2 linked regions of the Rattus norvegicus genome follow. The protein of the gene in region 2 interacts with the protein of the main gene of each other region in a biochemical or structural test. Links are inferred from orthologs where the notes say so. Each region holds a gene or a part of one and is shown on either strand. Other genes may lie near its edges.

Region 1 (4,562 bases), on a different chromosome or scaffold from region 2:
CCTTTAATCCCAGCACTTGGGAGCCAGAGGCAGGCTCTGGGAGTTCAAAACCGTCTTGATCTACAAAGCAAATCCAGGACAGCCAGGGCTCCATAGAGACACTGTCTCAAAAAAACCAAAAATAAATAAATAAATAAATAAATAAATAAATCACTAAAATCCATTCACCAAAGAAAAAGTATCATAGTTTAATTCACTTCATGCTTAGCTTTGTGGTACTGAGTTTTATAGGCATTGGGTATATATATTTTATCTCACTTAATTCACTTGACAATAAAACTATTTGGAACCTGTTATAGTAAGCAGTAGGAACCATATAAATACACCGTTTTTGCTTCAAGGAAGTCAAAAAACACCATAATGTTCATAAGACTTGCTGTTTTGAGACAGGGTCTCTTGTAGCCCAGTCTGGCCTCCAGCTTACTGAGAACACTGACTGCATTTCTGATCTTCCGGCTTCCATCTCCCGAGTGCTGGGGTTTTAGCCATGTGCCTACTTTATATGGTGCTGAGGACCAAATCCAGGATTTCATGCATGCTAAGCAAACACTACATCCTCAGCCCAACAAGAAAAAAAAAAAAAGAAGCATTTATTATGGTCCTACTGTGTCAGGCACTGAGATTAGAAAGGAAGAAGAAATACAGAAGAGTTCTACCCTCATGAACCCCACATTCCAGCGGAAGAAGACAGACTAGTTGGGTGTGGTGGCACATGCCTTTGATCCCAGCATTGGAAGTTCCAGGCTACATAGAGATCCTACCTCAGACAAAAACAGACCAGAAGATACACTATAAATGAGGGAACAAAGTGGCGGACAGTTATAGAGGCCATCAATGTCACTGAGAATACAGGAATCTCATGAGAACGATCAGGTTGAGGCTTGAGACCAATTGAAGATGACGTTTCAGCCAAGGTCCAAGAAGTAGAGTCTAGGCAGCAAGAGCAAAGCTCCTATCTAAGCAGGTTTTAGAGGCTGAAGAAATTGCTCAGAGGATAAGAACCTGTGTGTATTCCTCTTGCAATAGACCCTGGTACGGTTCCCAGCACCCAAATCAATACTCTGTCCTGTTTCAAGGGAATCTGATACCCTCTTCTGGGTACTGCTGCATGCACGCACACAGTACTCATATATACACTCAGGCACACACACGTACAAACACATTTTAAAAAGCGAAACAAGTTTTATGGGGCTGGAGAGATGGCTCAGGAGTTAGGTGTACTGGCTGCTCTTCCAGGATCTAGGTTCAATTCCTAGCATTCCTAGATGGTGGCTCACAACCATCTTTAAGTCCAGTTCTAGAAGTTCTGATGCCCTCTTCTGGTCAGTGTGGGCTCCAGGCACACACGTGGTGTACAGACACACATGCAGCCAAAAGTCACCGCACACATAAATTACTCAAAAGGTACAAGTTTTGGGGACAGTAGTGACATGGTAGCTAGTATACAACAAAAAGGGGGAAGACGGTCTGATGGAAAGCCAGAGAAAGCAAGTATTACATGACAGGAAGAGCCGGGGGTTATGGGAATTGCAGCGACTTTGGGAACCTGGGAGGCTCTTAGCAGGGAAGAGATGTGATCTGATTTATAGTTTCCGAGGACAACTTGATGCTGTGTGGAGTGCAAAGGCACATGAAAGGAAGTGGGAAGACCGGAGGGAGGAGTGGTCCAGGCAATTGATGACAAAGGCTTAGACCGCAGCAGCAATGCTGGAGACAGAAATGACCTCAAAACCCAAAGCGGAACCAACCTCTTTAAACCCCAGAACACTCAGTCGTTTACTGTTACTCCTCATGTCTTACAGGTAAAACCCAGAACACTGGTCCTCAAACAAGAAAGGCACTCTTAAGTATTCAATATAGATCAGCTTGTTAAACTAAAACTGACCCTGAAAAGATTTTGGTATGTCCCTGGGGTGGGGGCTGTCTGGGGAAGGATAGGGTGGTGCTATATTAAGTAGCACATCCTTTTTATGGCTTCTTATTTGTTTCAGTGATGGAATATGAGCTCCGGGTAACTGACAGTAACACTAGAATGCTAGAATGGTGAGCGACTGCTTTACCTCAAAGGAGGAAAAAACATTCACCCCCTTAACAAGTGTTAGCAAGTTCCTCACATATTTTGTGTCCAATCCCCATTTCCGCAGAATCAAGAAGCACATAAACACGTTCTGCCAAATCAAAGAAACTCGGTGAACTAGGTTTGCCAATTGAGGAAATCAAATCCGGAGCTAATCTATTCTTTTCCTACAAAGCAGCCACTTTGAGTCCTAGATGACGTCAGACCAGATTCCACCCAGACCAATGAGTTCCAAGAGTCCAATGGCAGGTGACGCCCTAGAAAGAAATTTCTGAGAGGATGAAGTTTCCACTGATACTCTCAGCGCTCTTTCCTCTAGACTTCGCCTGTGGATAGAGGGGTAATCCTGGGGTTGGGGACGTACAGGTGTCTCTATGGGAACCTAATGCGAAGCCAAGCAGAACAAAGGGCAAACGATCGCGGTAGTCTTTAGAGGTCCTAAAGGAAGAAAGGTACGGCGAGAAGGTGGGAGAGTTGATTTTGGCTAGAAAGTTCAGAAATCGTGGAAGCGACACTTATGTTTCACCCAAAGGATCTCCTGTGGAAATGGAGAAATATCCCTTGTCTTTCGTGGCAGTGTAGGCTGCTCTCCCCGCCACACCCCTCCTCTTCTGATAAAACTGAGATCCTCCCTAGAAGACCAGAACTTCAACCCCGCGCGCCGTCCCGTGCCTTTTGCCCAAGACTCGGCAGAGCCTATCCTTCCCCTTTGCACCCGCACGTCTAGCTCTCACCGTCCGCGGGGGCGCCTTTCCTCTCAGCCAAGTGGCAAGCGAACTCCGTGCGGCCTCTGGCCTGTAGCTAGCTATCTGCAATCTCGGCTGTGAGCTCACATCCTGCGCCCGCCGACTTCGGAGTTACAGCCCAACCCTGCATATCGGGGAAACAGACTACAAGACCCGGCATGCACAGCGCGCGACTGGACATTGAAGTAGAAAACTCTCAGAAGTTTGACTACTTTTTACTTCCGGGTTTGGGAACAATCTACTTCCGGTGTCATAGTCTCCCCACACACACACATCCCGCCCCCGGCGCAAAGGCTTCTGGACCTAGTGGGGAGTTATTTCTCTCGTGTTGCCTCTATTTCCCAGCAAACACCTCGGGGAGGGCGGATAGTAGTGCTTCTGGTCTTGGGAGTGACGTGTGGTTTATAGGTCCAGTATCCGTGGCAGCCGCCGATTGCAGTTACTGAAGAGAAGCTTCTACCGACAGTCGTCTGGGCCGCAGCGCGCTGTCGAGACGGCTCGGCAGGTAAGTCGTGAGGGGACTTGGAGGACTTGGGGCGAGAGGAGGCCGATGTGACGTGGCGCTGCATATTCGCAGGCCCGGGTTTAAAGCGGCGGTTTCCACACCTCGGAATTTTTAGGGAGCGGGTTTACACTCAGCTCAGCCCGAGAGCGTTGCTCCCTCGAAATCACCGGGAAACCGAGGTTCAGATATTCTGCGCCATTTGTCCAGTCCTTTCTTACTATGGCTGCGCCTTCACACCTCACAGCTCCAACTATCGCAATGCCAGCGGACCTGGGAGAGCCAGGGGGCGTAGAGCCAAGCACAGCCCCTCATGTTTAGGAAACTCAATCCCAGGACCCTGGAACTTATTTGTCGTGGGGGTTAGGGGTGGGGTGGGGATCTGATAGTCCGCTGTGTACCATTTCCCTGCAACGCTTTCTTACCCATCTCCTTAAACTGTCCTTTCCAGCCATACACTCGGTCCAATCCAGATTCGTGGCAGTCGTGTTTGGCTCTTTTCACTTTTCTCCCAAGTGCTGCTTTAAGCATTAATACATTCTGTCAATTCAGACAACATCTGATCTCTGAACTCCCGTTCGGCTTCAAGTCTTTTCTTCTGTTACAGCCTACTGTTTCCACACTAATTCATTCATTCTGCAAACATTATCAGAGTGCCGCTCACCTGCAGGCAGCCTGCTTAGAGATGCTAGGCTCACAGTGAGAAATCTGGAAGGCACGCCTGTGCTGCTCTTTCCTGTTTCCTCCGTTCGGCCAAGAGTGATCTTTCCAATCTGATTGATAAGCACTACTGGAATCCACTGCTAGCTGTTACCATTATAAAAAAAAAATCCAAGTTCATTTCTGGAGCTTTCGAAGCATTTAGTCATCCAGCTATAGCTAATTGTCCCATTGCTCCCTCTTGCTGTTTTGATCCCAGGACCCTTTGTGTCAAATTCTTATAGCCTCGGGATGCTCCCATATGCTTTTCCCTGTGCCTGGAATGTGCCTCTCCCTTCTCTTAGAAGATTTTTTTGGACATGTTTAGGTCTCAGATTGTTTTTACTGAAGGCTTTTGTTGACCTCTCTGCACACTTGAGTTATGTTCTCCTGTAGAATCCTGACAGCACTGAGTGCTGTTCATACTTTGATCACAGTTTGTGTTTATTTGCTTACATCTGCCTGGAGATACTGTGTTCACTCTGTCCTTGGAGCTGAGAGTCAACAGGTTTTTGTTTTTTGTTTTTAATAAATGCAT
Region 2 (4,508 bases):
TTGGACATGGCTGTGGGAAAAGTGAGAAAATGAAGACCAGGCAAGGCAGGAGGATGTGCCAAGCAAGCCTACCTTTCAGGTAGCTCTTGTGAAGACCAGCACCACCTCCAGGGGCCCAGCAGCCTACAACTAAAATGGACCTTCCATCCCCACACTGACTTCATACCTAGGATTCTGTAGAGCCCAGGGCTCATGGATAAAATGTAACCCAGGAATAACTGATCCTGCCACAATGTTAATATAATTTCAGGAGGGCATGGTAGGTACCTATGTCTCTGGGTAGAATGCTCGCCCCGAATTTGAGAATTCTAGGTTCTATCTCTAACACAGAAAAGAAAAAGGATAACAGGAAAAATATTCCACAAGAATAGGGGTCTAGGGGTCCTGCGTTCAACTCCCATCTTCCTACAAAAATGCCAGGCTCTCTCTGAAATCATTTTTCCTGTCCTCTAACACATACCGTTTGAAAATATCAGTTCAGCCTTTTAAATCTTGCTCGATCTTATCTAGGGGGGGTCTCCTTTTCCCAGATAAAAAACAGGCGTGACATTATTCCGGAAGCTTTCGGGGAAAGACGCTGCACTGTCATTTCCGTACCGCAAAATGGCGCTCTCATAATCTCTAAGAGTTGATACAATCAGAGCTACAGGGAGCCATGACGCATGCGCACCAGCAACAACAACAAAACACCCACAAGGTTCAGTTTCCCGCGCTGGAACCTTTCCAAGCATCCGTGTAAAGCATCGCGTGCCCAGGAGCGCGAGGACCCAAGGGGGAACCTGTCGGTTGGGGTCCTGCTTTTACATAACGCCCCCACAATGCTCTTCGCCACCCTCGCCCTGGTCCCTCCAGCACCAAGCTCCTTTCCTGGAGCTGGGAGGCCACCCTCTGCGTTCAGAAAGACTCTGAGGACACAGAGGGGGAGACCTGTGGAATGCCGAGGAGCTGTGAGATGAAGTAACATCACGGCACCCCTCACCACTACTCTGAGCAGGGTTTGAAGAACAGTTAGGGTCCGCAGCAGGACGCTCCATCAAGCTCTGAGGAAATGGAGAAGTACAAAGGGACGAGCGGCAGAATGGCTGGCCCCACCTCAGGTTAGCGCGCAGGGCGGTCTAGATTCTCACGCCGTATGCACAGCTCAGCGCGTCCTAAGCACACCCGACCTAAGTCCCTCACCACACCTCTGCGCATGCCGGAGCCCGAGCGCGCTCTGTCGCGGGCCTGGCAGGAGAGCCAGGGTCCAGTGGGTTGGCCTGGCACGGGGAGGAGGGAGAAAAACTAAAGCGCAACGCCGAGAGAGCACCGTAGGGATGACAATCACCCCGGGCGCTAGCCCCGTAGTCTAGCCAGCCTCCTAAGACTATATTTCCCAGGCTTCCTGGTCGAGAAGACTCCGTGCTAGGCTTCCGCTTCCGGTGGCGCTCCGTTCGCCCCGCCCCCGGGCGGCTTCCTCTAGGGCCTCGCGGCCCTAGAGTCATGCGCGGGTCCTCCTGGGATTGGTAGTTTGCCTTCCCTTCATTTCGTCAGTTTCTCTCTCCTGACGGGACTACATCTCCCGGCGTCCACGGAGGTAGGGGGGCGGTCCTTAGCGCCTGCGCGTTGCTCTCTTCTCCCCCCCAACCCCTAAACCCTCACCAGTTTCCAGTCCCCCCCTCCCCACTTCGTCTGCCGCGGCCGGGTCGGCTTTTTGCGCTGTAGCGGTCTCTGCCGTTCCTTGGAAGCACAGCTCCCCTTCCCCGCCCCAGTCCCAGTCCCCGTCCGGCCGGTGAGTGTGGGGTTGTCTCCGCGCCCAGTCGCCGGTCCCTGGGCGCGGCACTCGGGTCGGTGCTCCTCGATGTGGGGGCGACGAAGGAAGTGACCGGGTCGGTAGCCGAAGGAGGTCGGGGGGCCTGGGGAGAGGAGGCGGCTTGTGGGGACGCTCGTGAGTCCCACGGAAGTGTGGTGCCCTCGCCAACCCTGCGAGGGCAGGAGAGGCCGATTCTGTTGGGTAAAATGAACTTCGGGAGCTTTGGGACAGGCGCCAGGAATATGCAGGCACCTGCGGTGGTGGGGAGCCCGAGCCGAGGGCCCTGTCGCGGCTGACATGGAGGGGAGAGGGGCCTGGCCGTGAGGAGCGCCAGGGACGGGGGTAACACTAACAGATCAGGACCTGTCATTTTCTGGAAAGTAGCGGAACTCGTTCTCAGCACACTGTAAGGGGGGGCCGAGCTAAAGGAGAGGAGCTTGGAGATGCTTCAGAGGCCGGGATCCTTTAAGCCCGGCTGGACTCGGATTCATCCGTCGTTGTGGAGAACGTGTGGGAGGAGGGAAGAGACCAGAAACAGCTTGGTCTCCACTTACTTAGGCTCTTCTTTCTCAGCGGACATAAAGATGAGTAGCTCTGAGGAGGTGTCCTGGATTTCCTGGTTCTGTGGGCTCCGTGGTAATGAATTCTTCTGTGAGGTGAGTTTAGGTCGGCCAACTCCACATGCCCTCGATGTTTGATTTTACGTCGTTTGAGAGCAGATTTCGATCGAGCTCACTATGCAGACTAGACTGGCCTTGAACTCCTGGCAATCCTACCGGCCGCCTCCTGAGTGCTAGTATTGTGAGGGTTTGTCAATATGCATGGCTAACAGAGGTGTCTCTGGTGACCATTAGGGCAGTTAAAACCTCTCATGTCAAAGTTGTGTAACGTGCAAAGCACGGTGTGCTAAGGTAGAAAATTATAAATACCTTTCAGAAACTAAACTACTTGACCTTCATGATTCCGAGGTCTTCAGCTCAGGAGTCTGCTGTCCCCAAGAAGAGGGCACATGCAATTTGTAAAATGAGGGACAGAAGCTGAATAATGTCTTTGTGTGCTGGATCTGGTTTGCCTTAAAGAAAAGAGCTGCAGTTTTTATGAAACTTGAGTACTTCTGCAGAACTGGGACTAGGAAACATGAGAGGTGGCTTGGCTGAGGAAAGACTATCTCCTGGGCCCAGGTGGGAAGATGACGGGCCTTTCTATACTGGTTTGAACCCCTTGACTCCCCTGTAGGTGGATGAAGACTACATCCAGGACAAATTTAATCTTACTGGACTCAATGAGCAGGTGCCTCACTATCGACAAGCCCTAGACATGATCTTGGACCTGGAACCTGGTAACTAACGTGTGTCCTGGGTTGTTGCTGACTGTGGGGTTGGTGATAGAGTGCACTTGTGGGTGCTTTGTTTCCGTTCTCTTCTGCTCTCTGCTTGCTTGCTTCTTGAATTTGTTGATGTTGGGGTTTTTTTGTTTGTTTGTTTGTTTGTTTGTTTGTTTTTGTTTTGTTTTGTTTTTTGCGGGGAGAGGGGTAGTGGAGACAGGATTTTCCTGGGTAGCCTTGTCGGTCCTAGAACTCAGTCTGTAGACCAGGCTGTCCTCGAACTCACAGAGATCTGTCTGCCTCTGCCTCCTGAGTGCTGGAATCACAGACTGGCTTGCTTCTTGAATTTCTAAATTTCCTTTTGATTCTCGCTTGCTCCTGTGTTTCCTCCCCCACCTCTAGCCCCTCCATTCATAACCCAAACTGGACTTTACCACGTGCTGTCCTGCCCTAGCTTTCCATGCTGGAGAGAGGCACACAGCAGTGCTTAACTTCTCCACTGTTTTGATTCCTTGCCTGGTCTTGATGCTCTCTGAAAGCAGCTCGGCTGTTTTGTAATGGTGATTTCCTCTTGGGCCTGGTGTGCTGCCTCTTTCCCTCTGCTGCCCTCGAGGGCCACCTCTGTGGTTGTGTGTTTACATTTACTTACTGTGGAAGGAGAGAGGGACTTAGGCAGAGACTAAGGCATACAGAGAGGCTGCGCTGAGGGTCTTGACCTTGTAGAGGAGTCAGGAGCCCAGGTTTCTGGGTCAGATGCATGGATGGTGGGTAGGGCGAGCTTAGGAACAGGTACTGCAGGTAAGGTAGGGATACCTAGGGAAGCTAAACAAGTGGCCGCCCCACATTTCAGATGAAGAGCTGGAAGACAACCCCAACCAGAGTGACTTGATTGAGCAGGCGGCCGAGATGCTCTATGGGTTGATCCACGCCCGCTACATCCTCACCAACCGGGGCATTGCACAAATGGTGAGGCTCTGCTCCTGCTACTTCTACAGGAGGGGAAGGGTGCATGAGTCAGAGGCTGGGGAAGAGGAGAGAGGGAGATGCCCAGGGCAGGGCCACTGAGGGTCCCATTGAAGGTGGTGTTTTCAGGAAGGGAGATGAAACCAGAAAAAGGAGTTTGCAGGGGACACATGGCAAACAGCCCTGTGCTCTGCAGCCGGCCCCACGAAGGAAAAGCACCTGAGGGGTTGGAGGGCCTGTCTCCACAGAAGGGGCTTCTAGTCAGACTCGGGAGGCGTGGGGGAACCGGGAGTGCGTTGAGATTGCCTACGCACTCACCGACCACTCCCTTCTGTTTTATACATGTCAGTTGGAAAAGTACCAGCAAGGAGACTTTGGCTACTGTCCTCGAGTATACTGTGAGAACCAGCCGATGCTTCCCATCGGTGAGTG

What was found.
Region 1: the proteins of Csnk2b (region 2) and Tnfaip1 form a complex in vitro, tested with the Homo sapiens proteins (2 studies listed by BioGRID, with this or other methods). The link is inferred for Rattus norvegicus from reciprocal best matches to the Homo sapiens genes CSNK2B and TNFAIP1.

Annotation. Positions count from the first base shown.
Region 1 is NC_086028.1:63,927,534-63,932,095, forward strand, and holds the start of Tnfaip1 (BTB/POZ domain-containing adapter for CUL3-mediated RhoA degradation protein 2), read right to left. Parts: upstream 2,982-4,562; 5' UTR 2,812-2,981; intron 1-2,811. UniProt on the Homo sapiens protein: Substrate-specific adapter of a BCR (BTB-CUL3-RBX1) E3 ubiquitin-protein ligase complex involved in regulation of cytoskeleton structure.
Region 2 is NC_086038.1:3,704,074-3,708,581, forward strand, and holds the start of Csnk2b (casein kinase II subunit beta), read left to right. Parts: upstream 1-1,649; 5' UTR 1,650-1,768; intron 1,769-2,362; coding exon of another isoform or gene 2,363-2,373; coding exon 2,374-2,445; intron 2,446-3,025; coding exon 3,026-3,128; intron 3,129-3,963; coding exon 3,964-4,079; intron 4,080-4,425; coding exon 4,426-4,501; intron 4,502-4,508. Other genes in the region: Gpank1 (G patch domain and ankyrin repeat-containing protein 1), read right to left, coding at 1-10, 695-731. UniProt on the Homo sapiens protein: Regulatory subunit of casein kinase II/CK2.